4 linked regions of the Saccharomyces cerevisiae S288C genome follow. The gene in region 4 interacts genetically with the main gene of each other region. Each region holds a gene or a part of one and is shown on either strand. Other genes may lie near its edges. The genes, in order: NUS1, CYT2, RRT2 and PDS5.

What was found.
Region 1: mutations in PDS5 (region 4) and NUS1 together harm fitness more than expected from each alone (negative genetic interaction), as found in Saccharomyces cerevisiae (one large-scale study listed by BioGRID).
Region 2: mutations in PDS5 (region 4) and CYT2 together harm fitness more than expected from each alone (negative genetic interaction), as found in Saccharomyces cerevisiae (one large-scale study listed by BioGRID).
Region 3: mutations in PDS5 (region 4) and RRT2 together harm fitness more than expected from each alone (negative genetic interaction), as found in Saccharomyces cerevisiae (one large-scale study listed by BioGRID).

Annotation. Positions count from the first base shown.
Region 1 is NC_001136.10:109,307-116,299, reverse strand, and holds NUS1 (ditrans,polycis-polyprenyl diphosphate synthase), read right to left. Parts: upstream 1,629-6,993; coding exon 501-1,628; downstream 1-500. Other genes in the region: SNF3 (glucose sensor), read right to left, coding at 2,066-4,720; SEC31 (Sec31p), read right to left, coding at 5,271-6,993. UniProt on the Saccharomyces cerevisiae protein: With SRT1 or RER2, forms the dehydrodolichyl diphosphate synthase (DDS) complex, an essential component of the dolichol monophosphate (Dol-P) biosynthetic machinery.
Region 2 is NC_001143.9:274,306-279,526, forward strand, and holds CYT2 (cytochrome c1 heme lyase CYT2), read right to left. Parts: upstream 3,559-5,221; coding exon 2,884-3,558; downstream 1-2,883. Other genes in the region: MIF2 (Mif2p), read left to right, coding at 1-738; phosphopantothenoylcysteine decarboxylase complex subunit CAB3, read left to right, coding at 978-2,693; SRX1 (sulfiredoxin), read left to right, coding at 3,976-4,359; malate dehydrogenase MDH1, read left to right, coding at 4,818-5,221.
Region 3 is NC_001134.8:708,268-715,624, reverse strand, and holds RRT2 (diphthamide synthase), read right to left. Parts: upstream 4,035-7,357; coding exon 2,871-4,034; downstream 1-2,870. Other genes in the region: HIS7 (imidazoleglycerol-phosphate synthase), read left to right, coding at 1-818; snoRNA-binding rRNA-processing protein ENP1, read left to right, coding at 1,170-2,621; chromatin-remodeling ATPase ISW1, read left to right, coding at 4,086-7,357. UniProt on the Saccharomyces cerevisiae protein: Catalyzes the demethylation of diphthine methyl ester to form diphthine, an intermediate in diphthamide biosynthesis, a post-translational modification of histidine which occurs in translation elongation factor 2 (EFT1 and EFT2).
Region 4 is NC_001145.3:412,876-422,026, reverse strand, and holds PDS5 (sister chromatid cohesion factor PDS5), read left to right. Parts: upstream 1-1,997; coding exon 1,998-5,831; downstream 5,832-9,151. Other genes in the region: ESCRT-III subunit protein VPS20, read left to right, coding at 1-543; YMR075C-A (uncharacterized protein), read left to right, coding at 5,974-6,339; RCO1 (Rco1p), read right to left, coding at 5,991-8,045; SDD2 (Sdd2p), read left to right, coding at 8,554-8,991. UniProt on the Saccharomyces cerevisiae protein: Essential for the establishment and maintenance of sister chromatid cohesion at centromere proximal and distal regions during S phase. Also required for chromosomal condensation.

The sequences.
Region 1 (6,993 bases), on a different chromosome or scaffold from region 4:
TTGAGTTCTTTCTTATACCTTCAATGCCAGAGGTTCCAAAAAGTTTCAAAACAAAATGAACTTTCTATCTAGTAAGACTTATAAAAACCACCTCGATAAACAAGTGGATCGAGAACGTGTCAAAGATTCCGTTTCTCTCTCTGTTTTTCCATTTTTCGATTTTCATTTTTTTTTTTGGTTTGACAAATACAAGCCACCTCGTTATATGTGATTTGCAACGCGAAAAGAAATAAAAAGGGAAGGGTAATAACATGGTTTTTCTACAATAAACTGCTATCATTACGGTATTAGTGGCTTCTTGAGAGCTTATTGCGTGACTTTTTTTACTAAACTATTGAAAAATGCAACTAAGTAGCTAGCTTAAAACTATTGCTATCATTATCATTATTACTACTGTTATATATGTGGGCAATGACTTTCTTAAGTATCAGACGAGAATTCAACTGTGCAAAATTAAAAGGTTGAGCGAGATACTTATCTTTTCGTTTAGCTCTTAAGTATCATTTACCAACATTCACTTTACATCCTGCGTACTGTCTTAGGCCGCGGATGAAAACCGAATATATGACTTCGTTGTTATCTTTTTCCCAATAAAATTCGGTTAATCTAATATGCCAAGGTGGGAACCCTTGTAAATCCAACGAAGGCCCGAAGTATAACAGTAAATCTGGTTCGGGTCCAACTAGTTGTTTCAGTTCTGAATCAACTAAATCCATTGTGATGTCAGAAACGCTCAATTCGTTAACCGCACATAACTCAGCCATAGTTTTGGTCAGATCGACAATCGTTTCTCTACCATCTCTGTTAGACAATAAAGAAATTTCAATAGCAATTTTGTCCTTTTCTTGGTTAGCTTCTATCTCATTGCCTACATCAGTCTCGGTTTCAATTCCGTCTAGATTGTAGAATATCTTGTTAGAATGAGGTATTTTAACAGCGTAGTTTGGAACATGAGCTGGCCCAAAATATTTAGCCAGGTTGGAATGAATTTCCATTCTCAGCTCTGGAACATTTCTTTGTAATATTCCATCGTAATCGTACAACATCAAATGTTTTATACCAGCTGAAACAGTCCAGCAAACAATTTCACTCGCGTCATTTAATAAACCTGTCACACCGCCGCCAACGTCGCCAACTGGCTTGACTTCCAAGATAGCGGCCAACCTTTTAGGAATTTTTTTCAGAGGAATAACGTCCTGTCTAATCAACTGTGGTGTATATGCATGGTTGTAGATGATACTGAATATTCTTAGTTTCATTTTATTATATTGGTATTGACCGTACCGAAACAACCCGAAGCAGATGTATAACAACACAAGTAAAAACTTGTAAAAAAGGTATTCAAATTTACCTATTCTTTTACTCAAATCTTCTGTCTTTTGCTTTTGGACTCCATTCGTCTCATTGTTCACTTTCTTCTGAGGGTTCTCATCGGCGTCTGCAATGATACTTGTAACGGCCTTTAAAGCTCTGGTTTTTGAATTAACTTTACCGCCCTTTAAAACACCAGATTCTGGAGGTGGGATGTGATTGGAAGATTCTGGAACATCATCTCTTTCGATCTTTCTATGCGGTTTTTCATTAGGGGGCTCCATTGCTTTATCATCCTTTTTGATCATCGTGGGCATCTAAGAAAAACAATGGGGAAAATATATGTATATATATTGTATCAAAAAATTGTGTAATTTGCCAACTAATGTTATGCGAATACTAACTTGCGTAAAAATTCTCTTCCAGCGCCTTCGAGAGTTGTTGATAATTCAAGCCAGTGTTATACGTGGCTCCTGCAGGACTTTTCTATTGGGAAACCTTTTCGTTTATAATGACTTCCGACGTTGACCGAAGATGGTATCCGTCGGCGGCTAAGTATCCAAAAGTGTTATAGAAGAAAAGATCATAATTTTGGAAAGGCATTAAATCAAGTAATGTAATTGAATGTGTGTCAAGATAAACATTGTGTATCTATAAAAGTTGAGTAGTATCTCAAGTTACAATTATTTCTTTCACATGATTAAAATTATAATGCACGTCCGCTTAATTAATACATCGAATAACATTAAATTAATTATTTCAAATCATTATTTTCATTTACAGGTTGATTAGTGGCGTTTTCTTCGCTTGAGTGGAGGATTTCATTATTATGTTCATTAGTGTCAGCCATCACGGAGAGAGAAGTGCTCAAAATATTAGATTGAGTTTCAGGTTCCAGACCGCCTCTCTTGTCAATATAGCTCTGCGCAAACTGCGCCATTCGTTCCTTCATACCAGCCAAGTCTTGAGCTGTGTTCAAATTATCAGACGTCTCACCACCATTTGCCTCTTCATCACTGGAATTCATTAAAATTGAAGGTGGACCTCTGTTATAAGCATTCAAGGCAAGCCCGTTTCCCAGGTCCATCAAATTGCTGTCCTCTTCAGTTGTATCCGAATGTGAGGAAGCCGTGTGGTAACGAAGGGTACTTTGGTTACCGGAGAACTTATCTGTCGTGTTACTTGCAGTAGAAGTACTGTGAATGAGACGTGCCATATAATCATTAATATCATTCATAGTACTTCTATTACTTTGGTCGCCTTGAGATGAGGGCCCGCCTATTTCATCTTCTGTGTAATCTTCGCTTGAGTCGCTTGAGAGTGAGGGAGGCCCTCTATTATACGTATTAAGACCAAGCCCATTTCCTAGGTCCACATATTTGGTTCGAATTTCAGCAGGCTCTGTTGTTTGCGGGATTGGAACGTCTTGCAGAGAAGGTGACACAGGGACTGTCATACCACTACTTTTGTTCGGGCTTTCAAGAATTTCTGTACTAGTAGGAATATCAACACGTTCTGGGATAGAATGAACTTCTTTTTGATTGGGACTATGATCTATTTCGCCCGATATCGTATTTCGAAAATCATTTCTTGGTGTTTCATCGTCAAAATTATTTCTTTTAGCAACAAAAGTGTTCTTTCCGTCTTCTAATCTTTGCAAAGGATCGTATTGGAATTTAAGTGCGCGTTCCCTAATATCTTTATTAAATTTTGGTGACACGACACCAGTGGATGACTTAATATATAATTCATCAATCTCTTCTAATGTCAAACCCTTCGTTTCATAAACGGTCAAGTAAACAACTATCACCCCCATCGCATTTAAGGAGCCCCAAATGAAGAATATTTTTGCACCTAATGATGATGTATGCGACCCAGTATCTACAATATAAGGGGTAATTAAAGCACAAATAAAGTTTACAAGCCAGTTAGCAGCAGCGCATATAGCCGTACATTTAGATCTCACACCCAATGGGTACAGTTCTGCTGAAATAACCCAAACAACACCACCCCATGTAGCAGAAAAGGCAGCTATGAATAGACATATAAATGCTATCATAACTTTTGCGGCCGCTACAGTCTTTAAGGAACACCCAACAATGGCCACAATAAAGTTGGCTATAGTCATGATAACACCCCCAACAACCAGCACCTTACGTCTACCAAAAAATTCCACAAAAAACAAACCAGGAACATTAAAGACAACATTAACAGCATAGGTTATAAATGAAACCAGATAACTATTACTGACTCCTGTCTTATTGAAGAAATTGACACCGTAGTAAAATATAAAGTTGATACCTGAAAATTGTTGAAATGCTTGAAGGGCAATTCCCGTAAACATCCTTAGAGTTTGCTTTGGTCTACTTTTACTTGAAATAAAACAATCAATGAAGTTCGAAGAACCAAAAGATGCCTCGTAATCATATGTTGCCTTTATTTCAACTAGTTCTTCCAGTAACCCAGAATCATGGACTGGTACACCTCTTAAAAACGATAAAGATTTAGCTGCTTCATCTAGCTTGTCTTTCAAAACGTAATAGCGTGGACTCTCAGGGAGAAAGAACATCCCGATAGCGAGAAATGACGACCAGACATATTGCAACCCTATGGGAATCCGATACGAAGATGCGTCGTTTCTTGCGTGTGTCCCTTGCGACACTGCACTTGACACGAGCAAGCCCCAGGTAATGGCCCATTGGTAAGTAGAAATAATAGCACCTCTTAATGATTTATGTGTAGCTTCTGCTTGGTATAATGGAACAACCGCTGAAATTGCGCCTATACCGATACCTGAAATGACCCTTCCCACAATCAATAATGTGATTCCTCCAGCACCTACCTGTAAAGAATTTCCGATAGAGAAGATGAAAATTGTACTGAAAATGATAGTAGGCTTCCTGCCATACGAATCAGATATAAATGGTGCAGTTAAAGCCCCAAAAAAAGTTCCCAATGACAAAAATGACACCAAAATGGACATTTGTTGGGCGGTAAATGAATCGTGATTAGGTGCTACGTGTGACTTCACATAGTTCATAGATGTAATACTGTTGATCAGACCTGTATCATAACCAAATAAAAATCCGCCAACTGCAACAAAAACACCTACGCATATAGACATCATCATAGATTGTTTCTGAGGAGGCTCTGAAAATAAAATTGAGTTGTCGTCTATGGTAGAAATGTCATCCGTAAACACGGATGTCATATTAGATTGCCTGTCAGAATTTTGCCGCTGCAAGCTCGTAGGGGTTCGTATGCTACCTGTCGTATCATCTGTTGTATGATCTTTGTTACTATTGTTTCGTCGCAGTGCTATGCCCTTCACCCTCTGAAGAGCTTTGTCTAGGAAACCCTGTTTCTCTTGGCGTAATGTTTCGCTAGAACTGTTACTATTAGGATCCATTTATAAATTCTTCTTTCTATGCCAACAAAGGCATATCCTTCTGTTTAAAAAGGTCCTCAGTAAAACTTTTCTGTTTTAATTTCTATAGTGAGGTCAACTTATAGTGACTCTCTCTGTTTTTCTTCAATAAAATGCTTCTTATCTGTCCTATGATCTCTCGATGTGTAAGTACTATCAATGCAATTTGCCGAGGATAGGACTATTGTCTAGTTTTTCTCAGTATGACTGAATTTCCCCAGATTATAGAATAATTGACAGTTCCTCCTCCTTTTGTTCTTTAGAATGTGCGATGCGGCAAGTTTAAAATTTCCCCGGAGATTTGCCGCTCGAGGTGTACATGGTAAAAACATAAGGGAAAGGCTGTAAAAAAGATATAAGAGGTATTGGTTGGTTTTGAGAAGTAATGTTAAGCTAGTTCTAATTGTGATCTTGATTAGGTTTAAACATAAAAGGATAAGTACATAAATATATAAATATAATACTATAAGACATAATAAGAAAAAAACAAGGCCAATACGCCACTTTTTGTACTGAAAGTTTTGAGACTGAATTAATTCAAAGTCGCTTCAGCTATGCCAATCAACCTCTTCACTCCTGTCAGCCAGTTACCACCCTCTTGAGCATGGTTTGTAGCGATATTAGCATGGATGACCATAGCTTCTTTGTATTTCTTTTCCTTCATTAATGCGACGAGGTCATGTAAACAATCGATTGTTGGTTGGGTTAATAAATCCTGCTTTTCCAAATGGTAGAAAAGAATCTTTAATCGTTTATCACAATCCTTTAATTGTTTGGAGTACTCCTTTGGGGTCAATGGTGTTACGCGAGCCAGTTCTTCTTTCAAGAAGTCGACAATGGGTTGTTGATCAGCTGGAATTTCATGACTGACATTCTCAGCGGAGGTATTAACCTGAGAAGCCAAAGTTGGCGGTTGAGAAGGCTGCAATGGAGAGGCCGAGCTGGAAAGGGTTGGAGGATAAGTAGCACCTTGAGATGGGTTTTGTTCTATACTAGCTAACTTGTTGCTTCTCTTCTTCATGCTAATCGGAGGGGGGCCAGTGGGAGGTTTGTTAAAAACGGGAGGAGGAGAGGTCATGGTATGGTTATTAGTATACGGACCGGTTGGAGGATAGGAGGAACCGTTGGGTTGAGTGGTTGCAGTTGGAGCATATGGATTAGAGGCCTTTGGCAACGGAGCTGGAGGCACGCCTCCAGATAATGGGGTTGCTACTCTTTGTTGTGGTGGTGGAGCATAGGGGTTCGATGAAGCTACCTGAGCGGTGTTTGACGTTTGGTTTGCTGTAGAAATAGTACCTATTGGGAATTGTTGTGATGATTGAGGAGGAGCGTATGGATTTGATATGGATGCCCTTGGTGACTCAGAAGTTGCAACCAAGGATGGGACTCTAGAATTTTTGTGTAGAGGAGGTGGTGATACCATTGACACAGAAGAGGGAGCTCTGGAAAGAGGTGGCGGAGGCATGGTACTAGCAGCATTTGCAGGGATACCATTTAATGGAGTTGGTGTCGATAGGATATTTGGAGGGGCAACAGATACAGCCTTGGCACGAGATGGTTTTTCTTTGACCTTCAAAGGCAAATCATTCCAACCATCATTGGCTTTACGGTTGAGATGTGGCGTTTGACCCGATACAGCATTAATTGGAGGTTGTGAAGGAATAGAGCTAGATTGAGCATTATAGTCGCCCATAATAGGCATACCAGGTTGTATAGGAGCAAAAGTGTTTTGCGGAATCGACGTTGTAGATACGTTCGTTGCAGGAACTGTTGCAGTGGCATATGGGTTAGGCGGAGGAGCAAAAGAATTCAATCTGGTCGAGCTATTTGTTTTGTTAACAAAAGGTGACGCCATCGAAGGTTGGCTTGGTGGCGCATATTTACCTTCTGTATGAACAGGAGCACTAGTGGTGGTTGCTGGAACGTACGGCTTTGGAGGTAGAGCATTTGCAGAGGCGCCTGGTGTCATACCATAAAATGGTGCCTGCATACTAGGAATAGAAGTAGTAGAAGGCATTCCAGGAGTTGGTAGTACAGGAACGTTCTTATTTGTCTTGGCGTTTGTATACTTGGCTTTGCTGGTCGTCGCTGTCGCAGGATTTTGTGCCGGTAATGATTTGCCGGAAGCAATCAAGACACGTGCCTTTTCTGTTTTAACCTCTTCATTGTCACTTGGTAAACTATTTAAGAATTCAGTGGCTAGTTCGAAATTTCCTGTGGAAGTAGTTAAGTTGATAAATTCCAAAAATTTGGCA
Region 2 (5,221 bases), on a different chromosome or scaffold from region 4:
TATAAGAGGAAGTCCAATAAACCCGTTCTTGACATAGACAAAATTGTCACATATGATGAATCTGAAGACGAAGAGGAGATATTGGCAGCACAAAGAAGGAAGAAACAAAAAAAAAAACCTACACCAACCAGACCTTACAACTACGTACCTACGGGGAGACCAAGAGGAAGGCCAAAGAAGGATCCAAATGCAAAGGAAAATTTGATTCCAGAAGATCCCAACGAGGATATTATAGAAAGGATAGAATCTGGAGGCATAGAAAATGGCGAGTGGCTGAAACATGGAATACTGGAAGCTAATGTGAAAATTAGCGACACTAAGGAGGAAACTAAGGATGAAATTATTGCATTCGCGCCCAATTTGTCGCAAACTGAACAAGTAAAAGACACGAAGGACGAGAATTTTGCCCTTGAGATAATGTTCGATAAGCATAAAGAATATTTTGCTAGCGGCATATTAAAACTACCAGCTATTTCTGGACAAAAGAAATTAAGCAACTCATTTAGGACATATATTACGTTCCACGTGATACAGGGAATAGTCGAAGTAACTGTATGTAAGAACAAGTTCTTGAGCGTTAAAGGTTCCACTTTCCAAATACCGGCATTCAACGAGTACGCGATTGCCAATAGAGGGAATGATGAAGCCAAAATGTTCTTCGTTCAAGTGACCGTTTCAGAAGACGCTAACGATGACAACGACAAAGAATTAGACAGTACGTTTGACACTTTTGGGTAATTATGATGTGAATATTCTCATTATGCATGCTATGTACTGAAGAAATATAACTAGGTCCATACGCTTATACTGTTAAACATGTGAACTTTTCTGTAAGAAAATGAATCACGTAAAATTTCGCACCGAACTTTCGTAGATGAGAGAACAAAAAGCAGAAAAAGAGAAAGAACAGTAAAGTAACACTTAGTTAGCATATTTAAATAAAAGTCTAAAGGACCAGCAAAGAGTTATTAGGTGTGATGACGGATGAAAAAGTGAACTCAGATCAGAATATGAACGGTAAGCAGGGAGTTAACTTAATTTCATCCTTGCCTACAACACAAGTGCCGGTTTCAATTTTGACCAACAAGGAGAGAAGAAAAAGTATTCACGATGAATCAAATTTCGAAAGATCTGATAGTCATGAAGATCAATCAAAATCCAACTCTAATAGGAGGAATATTTACAAAAACGATTATAGCACAAATTTGAGGGATTTCTCTTTTGCCAATCTGAAGCAAAATAGTGAAAGGAACAAAGATGGCCATGAAATACAGATCAACACCAGTATGCCAGCTAATACAAATGGCCAGCAAAAAAGGTTTTCACCTTCATTACCTTCTGCTGTTTCATTTACGGTGCCCGAGGTGGAAAGGTTGCCGTATCATAGATATTCGATATCCAATAAACCTGGAAAGCAGCAGCAGCAGCAGGAACAACTGCAGCAAAATCAACAACAAGAAGAGCAGCAAAAGGCACAACTGCAGGAGCAAAATCAACGAGCAAAACAGCAAGAAGAGGTGAAGCAAATTCAGGAGCAAGTGCAAAAAAAGCAAACTGAAAGACAGCAACTGATAGACGAAAAGGAGAGGATAGCGAATGCAATATTTAAGGAGAACACTACTAATGATGGTACTGATATCAGGAAACATTCGGTATCGAGTGGTACGAGCAATAGCGAAGATGAAGTAGATTCACCTTCGATGGAAAAAAATTCTATCGTTCATATGCCAGGTGATTTTATCTACTTCAATCCCAAGTCAAACGCTTCTAAACCTATCACTGCAAAGGCGGCGCCATTATCGGCTAATAACTCCACACATAAAAACAAGGAAGTTATCACTGCACCCACAGGGCCTCGTGTACCCTTCACAGAGTTCTTTCAGAAGGAAGACGACAAGAAATTCCACATTCTCATTGGTGCGACGGGCTCAGTTGCCACAATAAAAGTACCTCTAATTATTGATAAACTTTTCAAGATATATGGGCCTGAGAAAATCTCTATTCAGTTGATTGTCACAAAACCCGCTGAGCATTTTTTGAAAGGGCTCAAAATGTCAACACACGTTAAAATTTGGAGGGAGGAAGACGCTTGGGTATTCGACGCTGTGAATAAGAATGATACTAGCTTGAGTCTGAACTTGATATTGCACCATGAATTAAGAAAATGGGCTGATATTTTCCTGATTGCGCCTTTGTCAGCTAACACACTTGCTAAACTGGCCAATGGTATATGTAACAATTTGCTAACTTCTGTGATGAGAGATTGGTCACCACTGACCCCAGTGTTGATTGCGCCTGCAATGAATACATTCATGTATATCAATCCTATGACAAAGAAACACCTGACGAGTTTAGTGCAAGACTATCCGTTCATCCAAGTTTTGAAACCGGTGGAAAAGGTATTAATATGCGGAGATATTGGTATGGGTGGTATGAGAGAATGGACAGATATTGTAGAGATCGTTAGGAGGAGAATCAATGAAATACGGAAAGCTAGGGACGAGGAAACTGGTGATAAAGAGCAAGAACAAGAAGAACAAGAGGGTGCTGACAATGAGGACGACGATGATGAGGATGACGAAGAGGATGAGGAGGACGAGGAGGAGGAAGAAGCTCTAAATGAAACAGCATCCGATGAGAGCAATGACGAGGAAGACGAAGAGGATGAGGAAGACGTGAAAACCGAAGTTTAAATGCATTAGAAAAGAGTATTTTGTGTTATGTTTTATGTTTTATTTTTTTTTTTTTTGTTTATTCCTTAAAAGAAGATTACTGCTTTTTCATTCCCTAGTTTCTAAATTGAGTGCCTAAATAAGATTAAATAAATATGTATGTGGAAACTAGGGAGGGTATGTTTTTATTTACAGGAATAGTTGTAGTAATTCAAAAGCCTAAAGATTTCCAGAACCGTAATCTAAAGCCCTCAAAACTGTTTAATTTTGGTCTAACATCGAGATAAATAAGTGGTTGTTGCTGCGAGTTTGCATCGTTCAGATCGGTGGAATAGAAATCGATTACGTAGTCGACGGTTTTACCGCATCTATCTATCTGCCAATCATGTCTATCAAAAGGTTTGGCCAGGTGCAAGATACGGGACCTGAACCAGGCCCTTGGTGTCAGTTTTTTGGAATCACCTTTAAAATTTGTTAATTTGATACCGCCACACGCTTCACCACCCTGCTTGTCTTCCCAGCTTTTAATGTAGTTCCAAACCCGCTCATTGATGGAGTTATGTAAAGGCACAACCACCTTCATGTCATCTGAGTTCGGATCCCAATTTTTTTTCATCATTGCCTCGTAAAATTGTTTCTCCGACGGGTATATCCAGTTTCTGTCAGAATTCGTCCTTGGTATGGTGGAAACCTCTCTGGACTGAGAGAGATCCACCGTGGTGTGATATTCAGGCGTTTTATCGTTATCTTGTGGGTTTGCAGAGCACTCTAGTTGATTGCCTGGGGCAGTAGCACCAGGATGCGCTTCGTTGCCATGTTCTCGTAGCCATAACTTTTTGGTTTCCTCATCTACGGGGCATTTCCCCTGTTGGTCTGAAGACATCATAATATGTAAAATAGAGACGAATGAAAAGCACGTGAACTAACAAACTATTTACTACTACCGAAATGTGATGCTTAAGCCTTTGGCCTCTGCAATACTAGCGATTGCTTTTTCCCTGATTAGTAAGCTACATCATTTATACTACATCTTTCTGTCTTAGAAGGCTTACAAACATCGAAAAGCTGGAACTTTGATTTCGAAAAAAATATGCCGTTACCCGTTGCGGGTCCCTTTTTTTTAGAAGGCCGGCCCAGAAGTCGCCATTATTTTTAGTCATTACAGTAGCCCTGTTGGGTAAGGATGCGATGCAATACATGTCAAGAGGTGTTGTATATAAACCACAATATCTACCATCAATGAGCTATATATACTTTTCTTACTGAAAAAAAAAACTACAAAACCAAGTAAAAAAAGAACAATATGTCACTACAAAGCAACAGTGTAAAACCAACAGAAATTCCTCTCTCAGAGATCAGACGCCCCCTAGCGCCTGTGTTGGATCCTCAAAAGATCGACGCAATGGTGGCCACAATGAAGGGCATTCCCACCGCTAGCAAGACATGCTCTCTAGAACAGGCTGAGGCGGCTGCCTCAGCCGGGGAACTGCCGCCCGTGGACGTGCTGGGCGTGCGAGTCAAGGGACAGACGCTATATTATGCCTTCGGCGGCTGCCACCGTCTACAGGCATACGACCGCCGGGCTCGCGAAACGCAGAACGCCGCCTTCCCCGTGCGCTGCAGGGTGCTACCGGCCACTCCCCGCCAAATCCGCATGTACCTGGGCAGCAGTCTCGACATCGAATAATGATTACGCTAATAACACTACATAAGAAACATAGATAAATTATAATTCACTAATACAAAATCCCTCAATTTAATTAATCAATTTCTTATTCAACAACTAGAGTAGGCACTAGCAGTTTGTGCGACCCTCGGCGCCGGAGAGGTACAAGGGACCTGGCGGTTGGGCCTTCCTGCCAGCTTCTCCCCCCCTTCTCGGCATTCACTCAGCGTTCATTGGCTCAATCACGCGCCAAGCGGATTCCCAGAAAAATACAAAAAAAAGTTGCCATAATACAATGGCGGATATTACAATATATATAGCTTGCGCTTTAAAAAGAAGTGTTAGCACGCATTGGGTGTTTGTACTGTATTCCTCCACTTAAGATAACGAATACACATATAGATATACAATATATTATACGTGGACATCTACGGAAAGGAAGAAAAAAAACAAAAGGAAAAGGAAGGATACCATATACAATGTTGTCAAGAGTAGCTAAACGTGCGTTTTCCTCTACAGTTGCCAACCCTTATAAAGTGACTGTTTTGGGTGCAGGCGGTGGTATTGGACAACCATTGTCTTTGCTTCTAAAGCTTAACCATAAAGTCACGGACTTAAGACTGTACGACCTAAAGGGCGCAAAAGGTGTTGCCACCGATTTGTCTCATATTCCAACAAACTCCGTGGTCAAGGGGTTTACTCCAGAAGAGCCAGACGGATTGAACAACGCTTTAAAGGACACAGACATGGTTTTAATTCCTGCTGGTGTGCCCAGAAAGCCTGGTATGACACGTGATGACTTGTTCGCCATCAACGCAAGCATCGTTCGCGATTTGGCAGCAGCAACCGCCGAATCCGCTCCCAATGCTGCCATTCTGGTCAT
Region 3 (7,357 bases), on a different chromosome or scaffold from region 4:
AGTTGGCACAGAAATATTACCAACAGGGTGCGGATGAAGTAACATTTTTGAATATAACTTCTTTTAGAGATTGTCCTTTGAAGGATACTCCGATGCTAGAGGTTCTGAAACAAGCCGCAAAGACAGTCTTTGTTCCATTGACAGTCGGTGGGGGGATCAAGGATATTGTCGATGTTGATGGAACCAAAATACCTGCTTTAGAAGTTGCAAGTCTATACTTCAGATCTGGTGCTGATAAAGTATCGATCGGTACGGATGCAGTCTATGCAGCCGAAAAATACTACGAGTTGGGTAACAGAGGAGATGGAACGTCACCAATAGAGACAATCTCGAAAGCATACGGTGCTCAGGCAGTTGTTATTTCTGTCGACCCTAAGAGAGTATATGTAAATTCACAAGCAGATACGAAGAACAAAGTCTTCGAGACAGAATATCCGGGCCCCAATGGAGAGAAATACTGCTGGTACCAATGTACAATCAAAGGTGGAAGAGAATCTAGAGACCTTGGTGTGTGGGAATTAACAAGGGCATGTGAAGCTCTAGGTGCTGGGGAGATTTTATTGAACTGCATAGACAAGGATGGCTCTAATTCTGGTTATGATCTGGAATTGATAGAACATGTTAAAGATGCGGTCAAGATTCCCGTCATTGCATCCAGTGGCGCCGGTGTACCCGAACATTTCGAAGAGGCCTTCCTAAAGACCCGCGCAGATGCTTGCTTGGGTGCAGGTATGTTCCACAGAGGTGAATTCACTGTTAACGATGTAAAGGAGTATTTACTAGAGCACGGATTAAAGGTTAGAATGGATGAAGAGTAATGTGGTTGGATATGTATACTTTATAATCTTGACTCAGTCTATATACGCAATAATGATAGATGTTAAATCAGACATTTCACAACACAAGAGGATGTACAGCTTGGAGAAATTGTACCAACTTATATGGTTGTATTATTGGTGGTGTCAGTAGGGGAAGAAATAGAACATATTTTTCCACTTTTTCATTTTTTTTTTTTAGCGAGGCATCGGAAATGAAAATTTTTAAAAATCGATGAGCTCCCACTTCTTCAACATTGACGAAAGGAAATATGCACTAAGTTGTTTTAAATCCAAGATTTGTCTCGTTTTAAGACTTACAGATAAAACAATATATTAGAAAGATTAACTATAATGGCCAGAGCATCCTCTACTAAAGCCAGAAAACAGAGGCATGATCCACTTTTAAAGGATTTAGATGCAGCTCAAGGTACCTTGAAAAAAATCAATAAAAAGAAGCTAGCGCAGAACGATGCTGCAAATCACGATGCTGCAAATGAGGAAGATGGATACATAGACTCCAAAGCATCAAGAAAAATTTTGCAGTTGGCCAAGGAACAACAGGATGAAATTGAAGGTGAGGAACTTGCTGAATCAGAAAGAAACAAGCAATTTGAAGCCAGATTCACCACCATGAGCTATGATGATGAAGACGAAGACGAAGACGAAGACGAAGAAGCTTTTGGAGAAGACATCTCCGATTTTGAACCCGAAGGTGATTATAAAGAAGAGGAAGAGATAGTTGAAATCGATGAAGAAGACGCAGCGATGTTTGAGCAATATTTCAAGAAATCAGATGATTTTAACTCTTTAAGTGGTAGCTATAATCTTGCAGACAAGATTATGGCCTCTATCCGAGAAAAGGAAAGTCAAGTTGAAGATATGCAAGATGATGAACCACTTGCTAATGAACAGAATACCTCAAGAGGCAATATTTCATCCGGTTTGAAGAGTGGAGAGGGTGTTGCACTTCCAGAGAAGGTCATCAAAGCATATACTACGGTAGGTAGTATTTTAAAAACTTGGACGCACGGTAAGTTGCCAAAGTTGTTCAAGGTTATCCCATCCTTAAGAAATTGGCAAGATGTCATTTATGTGACCAACCCGGAAGAATGGTCACCACACGTTGTTTACGAAGCAACGAAATTATTTGTATCCAACCTAACTGCTAAAGAATCTCAAAAATTTATTAACCTAATTTTACTTGAACGTTTCCGTGACAATATCGAGACCAGTGAAGACCACTCTTTAAACTATCATATATACCGTGCGGTGAAAAAATCGCTTTATAAACCAAGTGCCTTCTTCAAAGGTTTCCTATTCCCATTGGTTGAAACAGGGTGTAATGTACGTGAAGCGACAATTGCAGGAAGTGTGCTTGCTAAAGTCTCTGTTCCGGCTTTACATTCTTCAGCTGCCTTGAGTTATCTTTTAAGGCTACCTTTCTCTCCACCTACAACTGTTTTTATCAAAATATTGCTCGATAAAAAATATGCTTTACCGTACCAGACGGTGGACGACTGCGTGTATTACTTTATGAGGTTTAGAATTTTGGATGACGGTAGTAATGGGGAAGATGCTACAAGAGTACTCCCAGTGATATGGCACAAGGCTTTCTTAACATTTGCACAACGTTACAAGAACGATATTACCCAGGATCAGAGAGATTTCTTGTTGGAAACTGTTCGTCAAAGAGGCCATAAAGATATCGGTCCTGAGATTAGAAGAGAACTATTGGCAGGAGCCAGCAGGGAGTTTGTTGATCCACAGGAAGCTAATGATGATTTAATGATTGATGTCAATTGATGCTGTAATATCAATTTTTCATCAATTTTATATCGCTCGGTCTTTCCCCCTTTCAACAAAGCTTCTGAATCATGTATAATAAGTAGAAAATATAGAGTAAAAGATTATTGTTCAGGCAAGTTCCTTCCTATCAATTCTTTATGCATAATCTATCGAAATCATCAAAATATGGCCTATATATTAGCCTATATATTAGCCTATATATTAGCCTATATATTAGTCCATATATTGCAGACTGAATTTTTTTTTCTAAACTATCCATGTTTGCAAGGAATTATCATAAAATGAGCATGTTGCGATCAAAGAATTTGACCAGTCGCCACCGTAACACATCGAATCATGGCCCTTCTTCAGATAATGTTGAATTTGAAAATACTCATCGGAATTATCATTCATGGTCACCACCTTGGCACCATTGTACATGCAACAAACTAAAAGCCGATCGGAGCCGTTGTGGTGAGATTGTTCCTGATCAATGGGGGATTCAACAAATCTCCAAACACCGCCACCAAGATCACACGCCAATTTATTAACTGTGGGGACATTTGCACCAGGAAATATGGACTCACCCATCATCCTTAAATCCAGAGAACGAATGTTATCATCATAGGATCCAGTTATTATGGACGTGGGTTTATTATTTCGAAAGTTAGGTTGACTACACTTAATGCTAACAACACCAGCATCATGAATACGATTATTACTCCAAATGAATTCTTTGGAACGTAAGTCGTGGGCCATAATTCTCGAATCATCACCTCCTGTAAATACAACGTCTTGAAAAGGCTGTAGAGATCCAAATTCCGCAGTCCAACACTCGAGTTCATGGGGTTTCAAAAATTGTCCCGATTCAACATGAATGACTTTTTCGGTTGCACCTTGAACTTCGTAATCTATTTTATCTAGTTTTGAGTAAGCCTGCGCGATTGCTGATGCCGTGAACTGTACAGATAGTGTTCTTATATCAATGGTAGCTGCTTCGCCTGCCGTATTTGTTACAAGTAATTTCTTACAATCAAGTGGGGAAAAATGGCACGAGGCAATGAGAACATCTTTTTCAAAGAGTTGTAGATTTGCAATTGCATGAATATCTAGTTCGTTTGATTGGAAATCATCCTTATCTGTGCACCGTATCCTCCATAGCATGATATTACCTGTCGAATGGGCCGTGCATATCAATGTATCATCAAAGGGGGATAACTTCAAATCTAGGATTGCGCCATACGTATTATTCGAACATAAAAGTTTGAGGTCCATTGTGAAGACATCCAGTGAGCCTGACCTGTATCCAGTTGACTTATCTAAATCATACGTCCCAACAAGGATGATCTTATTCCTGAATATTCTCAAACAACACGGCGGTAGTTTTGTTTTCACTGCATTTAGTACATCTGATTCTTGAATAGAGTCCATATGTATAGCTATGCAAAAACCAGCTAGAGGTGGATGTAGAAATACCCTATTATGGCCTATATGTTAGCTATTGCAAATTTTCACTTTTTCAAGTTCTATACTAGAATGAGAAAAAAACACGAAAACAATTCTTGCAATGAAAAGGACAAAGATGAGAACCTATTCAAAATTATTCTCGCCATATTTTTGCAAGAAAAAAAAAAATACGATTGTATTTCATCTGGTTCAATTATGACTGCTTCAGAAGAGTACTTGGAGAATTTAAAACCGTTCCAGGTCGGTCTCCCTCCACATGATCCTGAATCGAATAAAAAACGTTACCTGCTGAAGGATGCTAATGGTAAAAAGTTTGATCTGGAAGGCACTACAAAAAGATTTGAACATCTGCTATCCTTGAGTGGTTTATTCAAGCATTTTATTGAAAGTAAAGCCGCTAAAGATCCCAAATTCAGGCAGGTCTTAGATGTATTAGAAGAAAATAAAGCAAATGGCAAAGGCAAAGGCAAACACCAAGATGTTCGTAGACGAAAGACTGAACACGAAGAAGATGCGGAATTATTGAAAGAAGAAGACTCGGATGATGATGAGAGCATTGAATTCCAATTCAGAGAATCACCTGCTTACGTTAATGGTCAATTGAGACCTTATCAAATCCAAGGTGTCAACTGGTTGGTGTCTCTGCATAAGAACAAAATAGCGGGTATCCTTGCTGATGAAATGGGTTTAGGTAAGACCCTGCAAACTATTTCATTTCTGGGATATCTTAGGTACATTGAAAAAATTCCAGGTCCATTTTTAGTCATTGCGCCTAAGTCTACCTTAAATAATTGGCTGAGAGAAATAAATAGATGGACGCCAGACGTAAACGCCTTTATTTTGCAAGGAGATAAAGAAGAAAGAGCTGAACTGATCCAAAAAAAACTTTTAGGTTGTGACTTTGATGTTGTGATTGCTTCTTATGAAATTATTATAAGAGAAAAGTCGCCCCTTAAGAAGATTAACTGGGAGTATATTATCATTGATGAGGCTCACAGAATCAAGAATGAAGAGTCAATGCTTTCGCAAGTCTTAAGGGAATTTACCTCACGTAATAGGCTGTTGATTACTGGTACTCCTTTGCAAAACAATTTGCATGAACTATGGGCGTTATTAAATTTTTTGTTACCAGATATCTTTTCCGATGCACAAGATTTCGACGATTGGTTTTCTTCTGAAAGCACAGAGGAAGATCAGGATAAAATTGTCAAGCAACTCCACACTGTTTTACAGCCTTTTCTACTACGTCGTATCAAAAGCGATGTGGAAACATCCTTACTGCCTAAAAAGGAACTGAATTTATATGTCGGTATGTCTAGCATGCAGAAGAAATGGTACAAAAAGATTTTGGAAAAGGATCTGGACGCTGTGAACGGGTCTAATGGCAGCAAGGAATCCAAAACAAGACTTTTAAATATCATGATGCAACTTAGAAAATGTTGTAATCATCCATATTTATTCGATGGTGCTGAGCCAGGTCCACCGTACACTACGGATGAGCACTTGGTTTATAACGCTGCCAAACTTCAAGTTTTGGATAAGTTATTGAAGAAATTGAAGGAAGAAGGTTCTAGAGTTCTGATTTTCAGTCAAATGTCAAGATTATTGGATATTCTCGAGGATTATTGCTACTTCAGAAACTATGAATATTGCAGGATCGACGGTTCCACCGCTCACGAAGATAGAATTCAAGCCATTGATGATTATAATGCTCCTGATTCTAAGAAGTTTGTTTTCTTATTAACGACACGTGCAGGTGGGTTAGGTATCAATTTAACGTCAGCAGATGTCGTTGTCTTGTATGATTCAGATTGGAACCCACAAGCAGATTTACAAGCAATGGATAGAGCGCATCGTATTGGTCAGAAGAAGCAGGTCAAGGTATTCCGTTTGGTCACAGATAACTCCGTGGAAGAGAAAATTTTAGAAAGGGCTACCCAGAAGTTAAGATTAGATCAATTAGTTATCCAGCAAAACAGGACTTCTTTGAAAAAGAAGGAAAATAAAGCAGATTCCAAAGATGCTTTATTATCCATGATTCAACATGGTGCCGCCGATGTATTCAAAAGTGGTACATCTACCGGTTCAGCTGGTACGCCGGAACCTGGTTCAGGAGAAAAAGGAGATGATATTGATCTGGACGAACTTTTACTGAAATCAGAAAACAAAACTAAGTCATTAAATGCAAAATATGAAACTTTAGGTCTTGATGATTTGCAAAAATTCAACCAAGATTCGGCCTATGAATGGAATGGTCAAGATTTCAAGAAGAAAATACAAAGGGATATTATAAGTCCGCTACTGCTCAACCCCACCAAACGTGAACGTAAGGAAAATTACTCTATTGATAATTATTATAAAGATGTTTTGAATACAGGAAGGTCCTCGACCCCATCACACCCCAGAATGCCTAAGCCTCATGTCTTCCATTCCCATCAATTACAACCTCCCCAATTGAAAGTCCTGTACGAAAAGGAAAGAATGTGGACGGCGAAGAAGACTGGTTATGTACCGACCATGGATGACGTAAAAGCAGCATATGGCGATATTTCAGATGAAGAAGAAAAGAAACAAAAATTGGAATTGTTAAAATTGTCGGTTAACAACTCGCAACCATTAACTGAAGAGGAAGAAAAGATGAAGGCTGATTGGGAGTCTGAAGGATTTACAAATTGGAATAAATTAGAATTTAGAAAATTCATCACGGTATCTGGTAAATACGGTAGGAACTCCATTCAAGCCATTGCGAGAGAATTGGCCCCTGGCAAAACACTAGAGGAAGTTCGCGCATATGCTAAGGCCTTCTGGTCTAACATTGAAAGAATTGAAGATTATGAGAAATATCTGAAAATAATTGAGAATGAAGAAGAGAAGATCAAGCGTGTCAAAATGCAACAAGAGGCTTTACGTCGGAAGTTGTCTGAGTATAAGAATCCATTCTTCGATTTGAAATTAAAACATCCTCCTTCTTCTAACAACAAAAGGACGTACTCTGAAGAAGAAGATCGTTTTATCCTTCTCATGTTATTCAAGTATGGCTTGGATAGAGATGACGTATACGAATTAGTGCGTGATGAAATTAGAGATTGTCCCCTATTCGAATTAGACTTTTACTTCAGAAGCAGGACACCTGTAGAGCTAGCCAGAAGAGGAAATACATTACTGCAATGCTTGGAAAAGGAATTTAACGCAGGGATTGTATTGGATGACGCCACTAAAGATAGAATGAAGAAAGAAGATGAAAATGGTAAAAGGATAAGGGAAGAATTTGCAGATCAGACCGCTAA
Region 4 (9,151 bases):
AAGAGTCAACTAAAAGACCTAATACGAAAAAATCCTGAAAATTATAAATCTAACATGAAGGTACGATTTCTACTAAAAAGAATTCATTATCAGGAGCATTTGTTGCAGCAGGCTTCGGATCAGCTTATTAATTTGGAAAATATGGTGTCAACACTTGAGTTCAAAATGGTAGAAAAGCAATTTATTAATGGACTGAAAAATGGAAATGAAATCTTGAAAAAACTAAACAAGGAATTTAGCAATGTTGATGAACTGATGGACGATGTACAAGATCAAATTGCGTATCAAAATGAAATTAACGAGACATTATCTAGAAGCTTAGTCGGAACAAGCAATTATGAAGACGATCTAGATAAGGAATTGGATGCTCTAGAAAGTGAACTCAATCCAGAGAAGATGAATAACGCAAAAGTAGCTAACATGCCATCAACAGAAGGTTTGCCATCATTGCCTCAAGGAGAACAAACCGAGCAAAAAGAAAGAGAGGAATTCGCGACGGAGGAGAGATCAGACACTAAGGAACCTTTAGCATTACTATCCTGAATGTCTGTATGTAGCTTCAAAATTAAAAATAAAGGGAATGTAAATAGGTTCCTTCCAGGTTTTTCGTTGATAGAATTTGTTTAGTATTTTCAAAAATAAATACTAAGTTTATATAGTACTTTTATAGCTAAGCCAAGACGTGATAAATAGTCGTTAGAATTTTTATTGTTAAAATGAAGCATCAGCTATCATCTCTTGACTTGTTCCATACTACTAGAAGATTATCATATACGACATAAAAAGATGATATAAAGATTGAGAAAAGTCTAGAGATGTAATGGAAGTTTCTGTCCCAATTATGGCAACTATTAATTTATGTTAACCTTTAAATTTTGCTTGAAATAAAATGATGAATGACAATATATTAAAAGAAAAACAAAATAGAGGAAAAAGTTATAATATTATCGTGTAAAAATATCGATTCCTTAATGTGGATTTCAAGTCCTCGAGGTGAATTTCTCCTATAATCTGAATTCACAGCATCGTAGCCTTCATCAACAGCAAAATTTCTGGGGATAGTGGCTTTTTCTTTATATATTTATCCTGAATCAATGAACTTTCCTAAATTAAAGTTCTTGCACAATTTTCAATGGTCATGCCATGAAATAATACTATTTTGTTAAATGTCGGAGATATTTCAAAAAAAGAATAGGACATGATATTTAGGCCATATATTGAGAGCTACATTAAAAAAGATCCTATTATTAGAGGAAAGTTTCCTGTACGGTTGACCTGAAAAAAGAAATGTTCTTCTATAAAAGATTACATAAAATGTTTAGTCCATAAAACCATAAGTATAGGTCCAGACCATCACAAATAACAGGTTTCGTGGTCTAGTCGGTTATGGCATCTGCTTAACACGCAGAACGTCCCCAGTTCGATCCTGGGCGAAATCATTTTTATCTCAGCCGTTACGGAAAGTTTTTTAACGCCCGTCTGGCGTCCCACCTTTTAGGTAAAGACTCTGAAGTTACCCTCTACCCTCTTGGAATTGCGGCAGTAAGAATAGTTAAAAACATAATTTAGTAAGAAGCAGGATGTATATTTTAATTTATAATAGTGTGATGAACTCCCCTCCTAAATGCAGTACATAGTAAGAATTTCCATGAAAAAGAACAACTCAACTGCGACTGTTTGTTTTATCCTCAGTTTTCAGACTCCTCAATGCAGTTTTTTTCTCAGATTAAACTTTTACCTTTTCATCTATTTAGCCGCCAAGGGAAAATATGCACTACCCGGAATGATGGCGTTAAAAGTGACTTAATCTATAGACATGTCGCGACGCGACGCGTAAAGTTGTATAAACAAGTGAAAGTTTATAAACCTAGGCTCCATCGAAATTGTTGTTAATTGTAAAAAGACCTAAAAGAAGTTTATCCACCTTGTTAGTTTGTATCCGGTCTCAATTTTTACAGGTATATTTGTAAAGAAGCAAGAAATAAAGTGCGAACAAAATGGCTAAAGGTGCTGTTACTAAACTGAAGTTTAACTCACCTATAATATCTACCTCCGATCAGCTGATATCAACAAATGAACTATTAGATCGTTTAAAAGCTTTACATGAGGAATTAGCCTCTCTGGATCAAGACAATACAGATTTAACGGGATTAGATAAATATAGGGACGCACTAGTTAGCAGAAAATTATTAAAACATAAAGACGTGGGGATCCGCGCTTTCACCGCTTGTTGTCTAAGCGATATCCTGAGATTATATGCTCCAGATGCGCCTTATACGGATGCTCAACTAACGGACATTTTCAAGCTGGTGCTCTCACAATTTGAACAATTAGGTGACCAAGAAAACGGCTATCACATCCAACAAACTTATTTGATCACTAAGCTACTAGAATACAGATCAATCGTATTATTAGCCGATTTACCTAGTTCAAACAATTTACTTATCGAACTATTCCATATTTTTTACGATCCTAACAAGAGCTTCCCCGCAAGGCTCTTCAATGTAATAGGCGGTATTCTCGGTGAAGTCATCTCTGAGTTCGATTCTGTTCCCCTAGAAGTACTAAGATTAATTTTTAATAAGTTTTTGACCTATAACCCGAATGAAATTCCTGAAGGTTTGAACGTTACTTCTGACTGTGGCTACGAAGTTAGTCTAATTTTGTGTGATACTTATTCCAATAGAATGAGTAGACATCTAACTAAATACTATTCCGAGATTATTCATGAAGCAACTAATGATGACAATAATTCAAGACTTCTCACTGTGGTAGTGAAATTACATAAACTGGTATTGAGACTTTGGGAAACAGTACCCGAACTGATCAATGCAGTAATCGGATTTATATACCACGAATTATCTTCGGAAAACGAGCTTTTCAGAAAAGAAGCTACAAAATTAATTGGTCAAATACTTACCTCATATTCGGATTTAAATTTTGTTTCTACACATTCCGATACGTTCAAGGCATGGATTTCCAAAATTGCTGATATTAGTCCCGATGTTAGAGTAGAATGGACAGAATCAATTCCTCAAATCATTGCCACGAGAGAAGACATATCCAAAGAACTGAATCAGGCACTGGCAAAAACCTTTATTGATTCTGATCCTCGTGTACGCAGGACTTCTGTTATGATTTTTAATAAAGTTCCCGTTACTGAAATTTGGAAAAATATAACCAATAAAGCCATTTATACATCTTTACTTCATTTGGCCCGAGAAAAACATAAGGAGGTTAGGGAACTCTGCATTAACACTATGGCCAAGTTTTACTCAAATTCATTGAATGAGATCGAAAGGACATACCAAAATAAAGAAATTTGGGAAATCATAGACACCATACCATCCACTTTATACAATCTCTATTATATCAATGATTTAAACATCAATGAACAAGTCGACAGCGTAATTTTCGAATACCTACTACCGTTTGAACCAGATAACGATAAAAGAGTCCACAGACTGCTAACGGTTTTGTCACATTTTGATAAGAAGGCATTCACTTCATTTTTCGCTTTCAATGCAAGACAAATCAAAATATCCTTCGCTATATCCAAATATATTGATTTTAGTAAATTTTTGAACAATCAAGAAAGTATGAGCTCGTCTCAAGGTCCTATTGTAATGAACAAGTACAACCAAACTCTCCAGTGGTTAGCTTCTGGCCTTTCTGACTCTACGAAAGCAATCGACGCCCTCGAAACAATAAAACAATTTAACGACGAAAGAATCTTTTATTTATTAAATGCCTGTGTCACCAACGATATTCCGTTTCTTACTTTTAAAAATTGTTACAATGAATTGGTCAGTAAGTTACAAACGCCAGGACTATTTAAAAAATATAATATATCTACTGGTGCTTCCATTATGCCACGTGATATCGCCAAGGTAATACAAATTTTGCTTTTTAGAGCCTCACCAATAATTTATAATGTATCCAACATCAGTGTTTTATTGAACCTATCTAATAATTCTGACGCAAAACAATTGGATTTGAAAAGAAGAATCTTGGATGATATATCGAAAGTCAATCCCACATTATTTAAAGATCAGATTAGAACATTAAAAACCATTATCAAGGATTTGGATGATCCAGATGCAGAAAAAAATGATAACTTGTCATTGGAAGAAGCTTTAAAAACCCTTTACAAGGCTTCCAAAACATTAAAGGATCAAGTGGATTTTGACGACACGTTTTTCTTCACCAAATTATACGATTTTGCAGTTGAAAGTAAACCAGAAATAACGAAATACGCCACAAAACTTATCGCTTTATCGCCCAAAGCTGAAGAAACTCTGAAAAAGATAAAAATACGTATCCTACCTTTAGATTTGCAAAAAGACAAGTATTTTACATCTCATATTATTGTACTCATGGAAATATTTAAAAAATTCCCTCACGTCCTAAATGATGATTCCACTGATATCATATCATACCTAATTAAAGAAGTTCTATTATCAAACCAGGTCGTTGGTGATTCAAAAAAAGAAATTGACTGGGTAGAAGATTCTCTATTAAGTGACACGAAATATTCTGCAATAGGTAATAAGGTGTTTACTTTAAAGCTGTTCACCAACAAATTGAGATCAATTGCTCCGGATGTTCCACGAGATGAATTGGCAGAAAGTTTCACCGAAAAAACTATGAAGTTATTCTTTTACTTGATTGCAAGTGGTGGTGAGCTGATTTCCGAGTTTAACAAGGAGTTTTATCCCACCCCCAGTAATTATCAAACAAAATTGAGGTGTGTGGCAGGAATTCAAGTTTTAAAACTGGCCAGGATTTCTAATTTGAACAACTTTATCAAACCTTCGGACATTATTAAATTAATTAATTTGGTTGAAGATGAATCGCTGCCAGTAAGAAAAACATTTTTGGAACAACTGAAAGATTATGTTGCTAATGAACTGATTTCCATAAAGTTCCTACCACTAGTATTTTTTACTGCTTATGAACCAGATGTCGAACTGAAAACCACAACGAAGATATGGATAAACTTTACATTTGGCTTAAAATCATTTAAAAAAGGGACGATATTTGAAAGAGCTTTGCCTAGGTTGATACATGCGATTGCACATCACCCTGATATTGTGGGAGGTTTAGATTCCGAAGGAGACGCATATCTAAATGCTTTAACAACAGCGATTGATTATTTGCTGTTTTACTTTGACTCTATTGCCGCCCAAGAGAACTTCAGTTTGCTCTATTATTTATCAGAAAGGGTAAAAAACTATCAAGATAAGTTAGTTGAGGATGAAATTGATGAAGAAGAAGGACCACAAAAAGAAGAAGCGCCAAAGAAGCATAGACCTTACGGTCAGAAAATGTATATCATAGGTGAGCTGTCGCAAATGATTCTATTGAATTTAAAAGAGAAGAAAAATTGGCAACATTCAGCATATCCAGGTAAATTAAACTTACCATCAGATTTGTTCAAACCTTTTGCAACGGTTCAGGAGGCCCAGTTATCTTTCAAAACATACATACCAGAGAGCTTGACTGAAAAAATACAAAACAATATAAAAGCTAAAATCGGACGGATTCTTCACACGTCACAAACTCAAAGACAAAGGCTTCAAAAGAGGTTATTAGCTCACGAAAACAATGAATCACAAAAAAAAAAGAAGAAAGTTCATCATGCGAGATCACAGGCTGACGACGAAGAAGGTGATGGGGATCGAGAATCAGACAGTGATGATGACAGTTATTCACCGTCTAACAAAAATGAAACCAAGAAAGGGCACGAAAATATTGTGATGAAGAAATTGAGGGTCAGGAAAGAAGTTGACTACAAAGACGATGAAGATGATGACATCGAGATGACTTAGAAGGGAAAAAAACATCAATTGCTATGTTGTAAATGGAAAAAAAAGGAAAATAGGTAGATCTCTCACTTTAAGATGCGATACATATGCCTATGTATGTGTGTATATATGTAAGGAAGGTGTTCACGTTCCTGATTTATTCTTTATGTATGTACGCCGTTTCTATTCGGATTGGTTTTCGGGATTTTCTATGTTTAAAAATTTTAACAGTTCTTCCTTTGGTTTGGATTCGATAATCTTCTTTAAATATAACAGATGCTTTATTTCATCGCTGGAAAAGTCATTGAATTGTATAGAATCTAGTTCGTTCGGCACGACTACGTTAGTCAGTTCTTTCAAATCCCATAATTTTCTTAAGTTATTGCTTTTGGAAGCCGATTTATTGTTACTACTCTTGTCGTTGTTGCTAACTTGGAAATATATTAAAGAGGCTATGTCTTTGACCATATTATCCTCGCTATTGCCATTTTGGGATCCATTTGATACTAACTTATCTATTAAACTTTCTTGAAATTGAAAGAGTTTTCTTTTTTGAACCATTTTTGATTTGTAAATTTTATCAAAAAAATCATATTTAATGGAATTTTCATCTATTTGTGTAATTTTGAAATCTTGATTGAAATCATAATCTGTATGACTAGTTGTTGGTATGATTTGAATGTTCCCGTTATTTTGGTAGCCTATTTTTTGTAAAGGTTCATAATAAAGTTGGTTTTTCTTGTTTATCAATCGTTGTTTTTTCCACACCTTATAATTTACGCTATTATCTTCTTGACAATGGTGTATCTTTTTGTAAACTTTAGTTGGGGAATGTAGAGGACATTTCCATTTTGAACCTAAGTTCTTGAAAGAAGCCCTCGGTACACAATCCAAATGCCATGGAGTCTGACAATAATCACAAGTCATTATTAATCTTGAATTTTCTGGATGAGACCATGAACCTAGTCTGGTTTGATTGCATTTGTAACAAATTAAAAACTTACCTGAATTTGAATCTATATGTGTATCCGGGTTGTAAGAGTCCAATTTAGTTATGCTTTGGCCATAAGAAGTGTTAAACAATTGTCTATCAGTTAATGGAATCTTATCATTCTCATCAGAGTATTGTCCTCTCGAACCCGTTTTCACAGCAGGAAAGGTTTCTTTTATATAATTTGGTAGCTGGAACTGTTTTGGGTTGTGGGAATCGATATTGAAAAGTAATTTAGCAAAAATCTTGACGTTGTTATTTTGCTTAATGAAGTTGGATTCAATTTTTTTTAAAGTTGCCATTGAGTTATTTATGAAGATTTTAAACTTACATTCATTACAATGCCAATCACCTTTAGGCAGGTTGTTCGGATCAATTGGTGGGTCTAAGCAAAGAAAGTGAAAGGATTTGGGGCATGTATCACAGCATAAAAAAGAACCTGACTGATTACAAGCCGAACAAAAATCTTCATTCTCAAAATCTATGGTTGAATTGTTCTTGTCCCTGAAAATTTTTTCACTCGCATTCGATGTTGACTTGATGGAATTTTGGCCAAATAGTTTACTTTTTGAATCATAGGTAGCATTCGTTGAAAGTATTATTTTGGTTCTAATATTTGATAGCTTTTTATTATCGCGGTCGCTTTCAGGTTCACGGTCACGAGTTCTGTTTATTATATCGCCATTCCAACCAATAGTTGACCGTATATTGCTCTCTTCAGTCATGTTCTCAGTTAAAAACGTTTTCAAATCATTTCTGTTCAAATCCTGAAAATTTTTCGGCACCTGAGTAAATCTTTTACTGGGGACCAGCGTCATTTCTGAGTTGTTCGATTGGCCTCCCAAATTTTTTCTATAATTCCAAAGAGACTCTCGCTTGATTTTCTCAGAAGGACCTTTATTTAACGGCAATCCAGTGACAGATACCTTCGAATCTTCCGAGATGGTGGATGGCTCATTAAGTTTGATGATATTACCCTTGGAGTCCTTTTCAAGAAGTTCCTTGGGTTCTTCTTCCGGGATATTGTCTTCAACTGCAAGATTGCTATGCTCGTTCTTGAATGATCTTTCTATACCTTCAGAAGTGATGATCTTTCTCCTTTTCAAATCGTAATTTACATTCTGGGAGGATAGTCTCTTAGGACGTTTTTTCTCTTTGGAAGAAGATGAAGAGAGAGAAGAAGATGAAGGAGAAGAACTGTTGGAATGTGAGGGCGACCTAGTAGTATCTTTCTTGCTGGTGTCCATTGTATTATTATTAGCAGATGGTAATGGAAGTGTCTTTTATAGGTTTTTCTATGGTGATTATTCTCGTTTATACTTGGTATTCTTCTTCCTTCCTCTCGTGCTTGTTGCAAATGTTCAAACGCGTAGTGGGTACGTCGTTCTCTACAAAGGAATGAGGCAGATCTTGCAGCGAGCTACTAAAACTACCACTTATGGGTTAACACGATATATATGTATTTATATCTACTAATATGGTATTAAGGCTCAAAAATAACCTTGCAACAGAGAGCAATAGTATAATTTCCTACATGAGGAAGAAAGTTGCCTATTATGGTGAGCAGGTGAAATCCTAGCTGCGAACGGGAAACTTATTCGGACGAGAAACAGATGAGAAACAGATGAGAATTTTTGGGCTGGGTAAGCGAGAATTTTTATACCACTTGTGGTTCTACAAGGAGAACCAAGAGTAAAAGTTGAAAAATCTTCTTGCTCTCTGGATTACAATTCAGGAGGAAGTGTGTGCTCAGATATGGACCCAGAGTTACAAGCTATTAGGGAAGCCAGATTGGCTCAGTTGAAAAACAACAGTGGGGGTACCAACGGCGATAGAAATAGCGGTGCTAATAATGGTGGAGGTGAAAATTCCGCTCCCGTTGGTGCAGCTATTGCAAATTTCTTGGAGCCACAAGCTTTAGAAAGATTATCTCGAGTGGCCTTGGTCCGTAGAGACAGGGCCCAAGCAGTAGAGACATACTTAAAGAAACTGATTGCTACAAACAACGTCACTCATAAAATCACTGAAGCTGAAATTGTTTCAATCTTGAATGGTATCGCCAAGCAACAAAATTCACAAAATAACAGTAAGATTATCTTCGAACGGAAAGATTTCAGCGAAGATCTGAATTCATTTGACAAGCAGAATGCTAAAAATGATGACGACGAAGATGATGACGACTTCTTTGATTAGTTTATATAAACGAATAATATGTTTTTTCGTATAATGTTACATTTAGTACAAATCATATCCTTTATAGAACTAGAGTTAAAGTTACATTAATTATGTGTAGCAAAAGGACGAATAAGCAGAATATAACATATTAGCAGGTGCTTAGATTACACTCATAGAG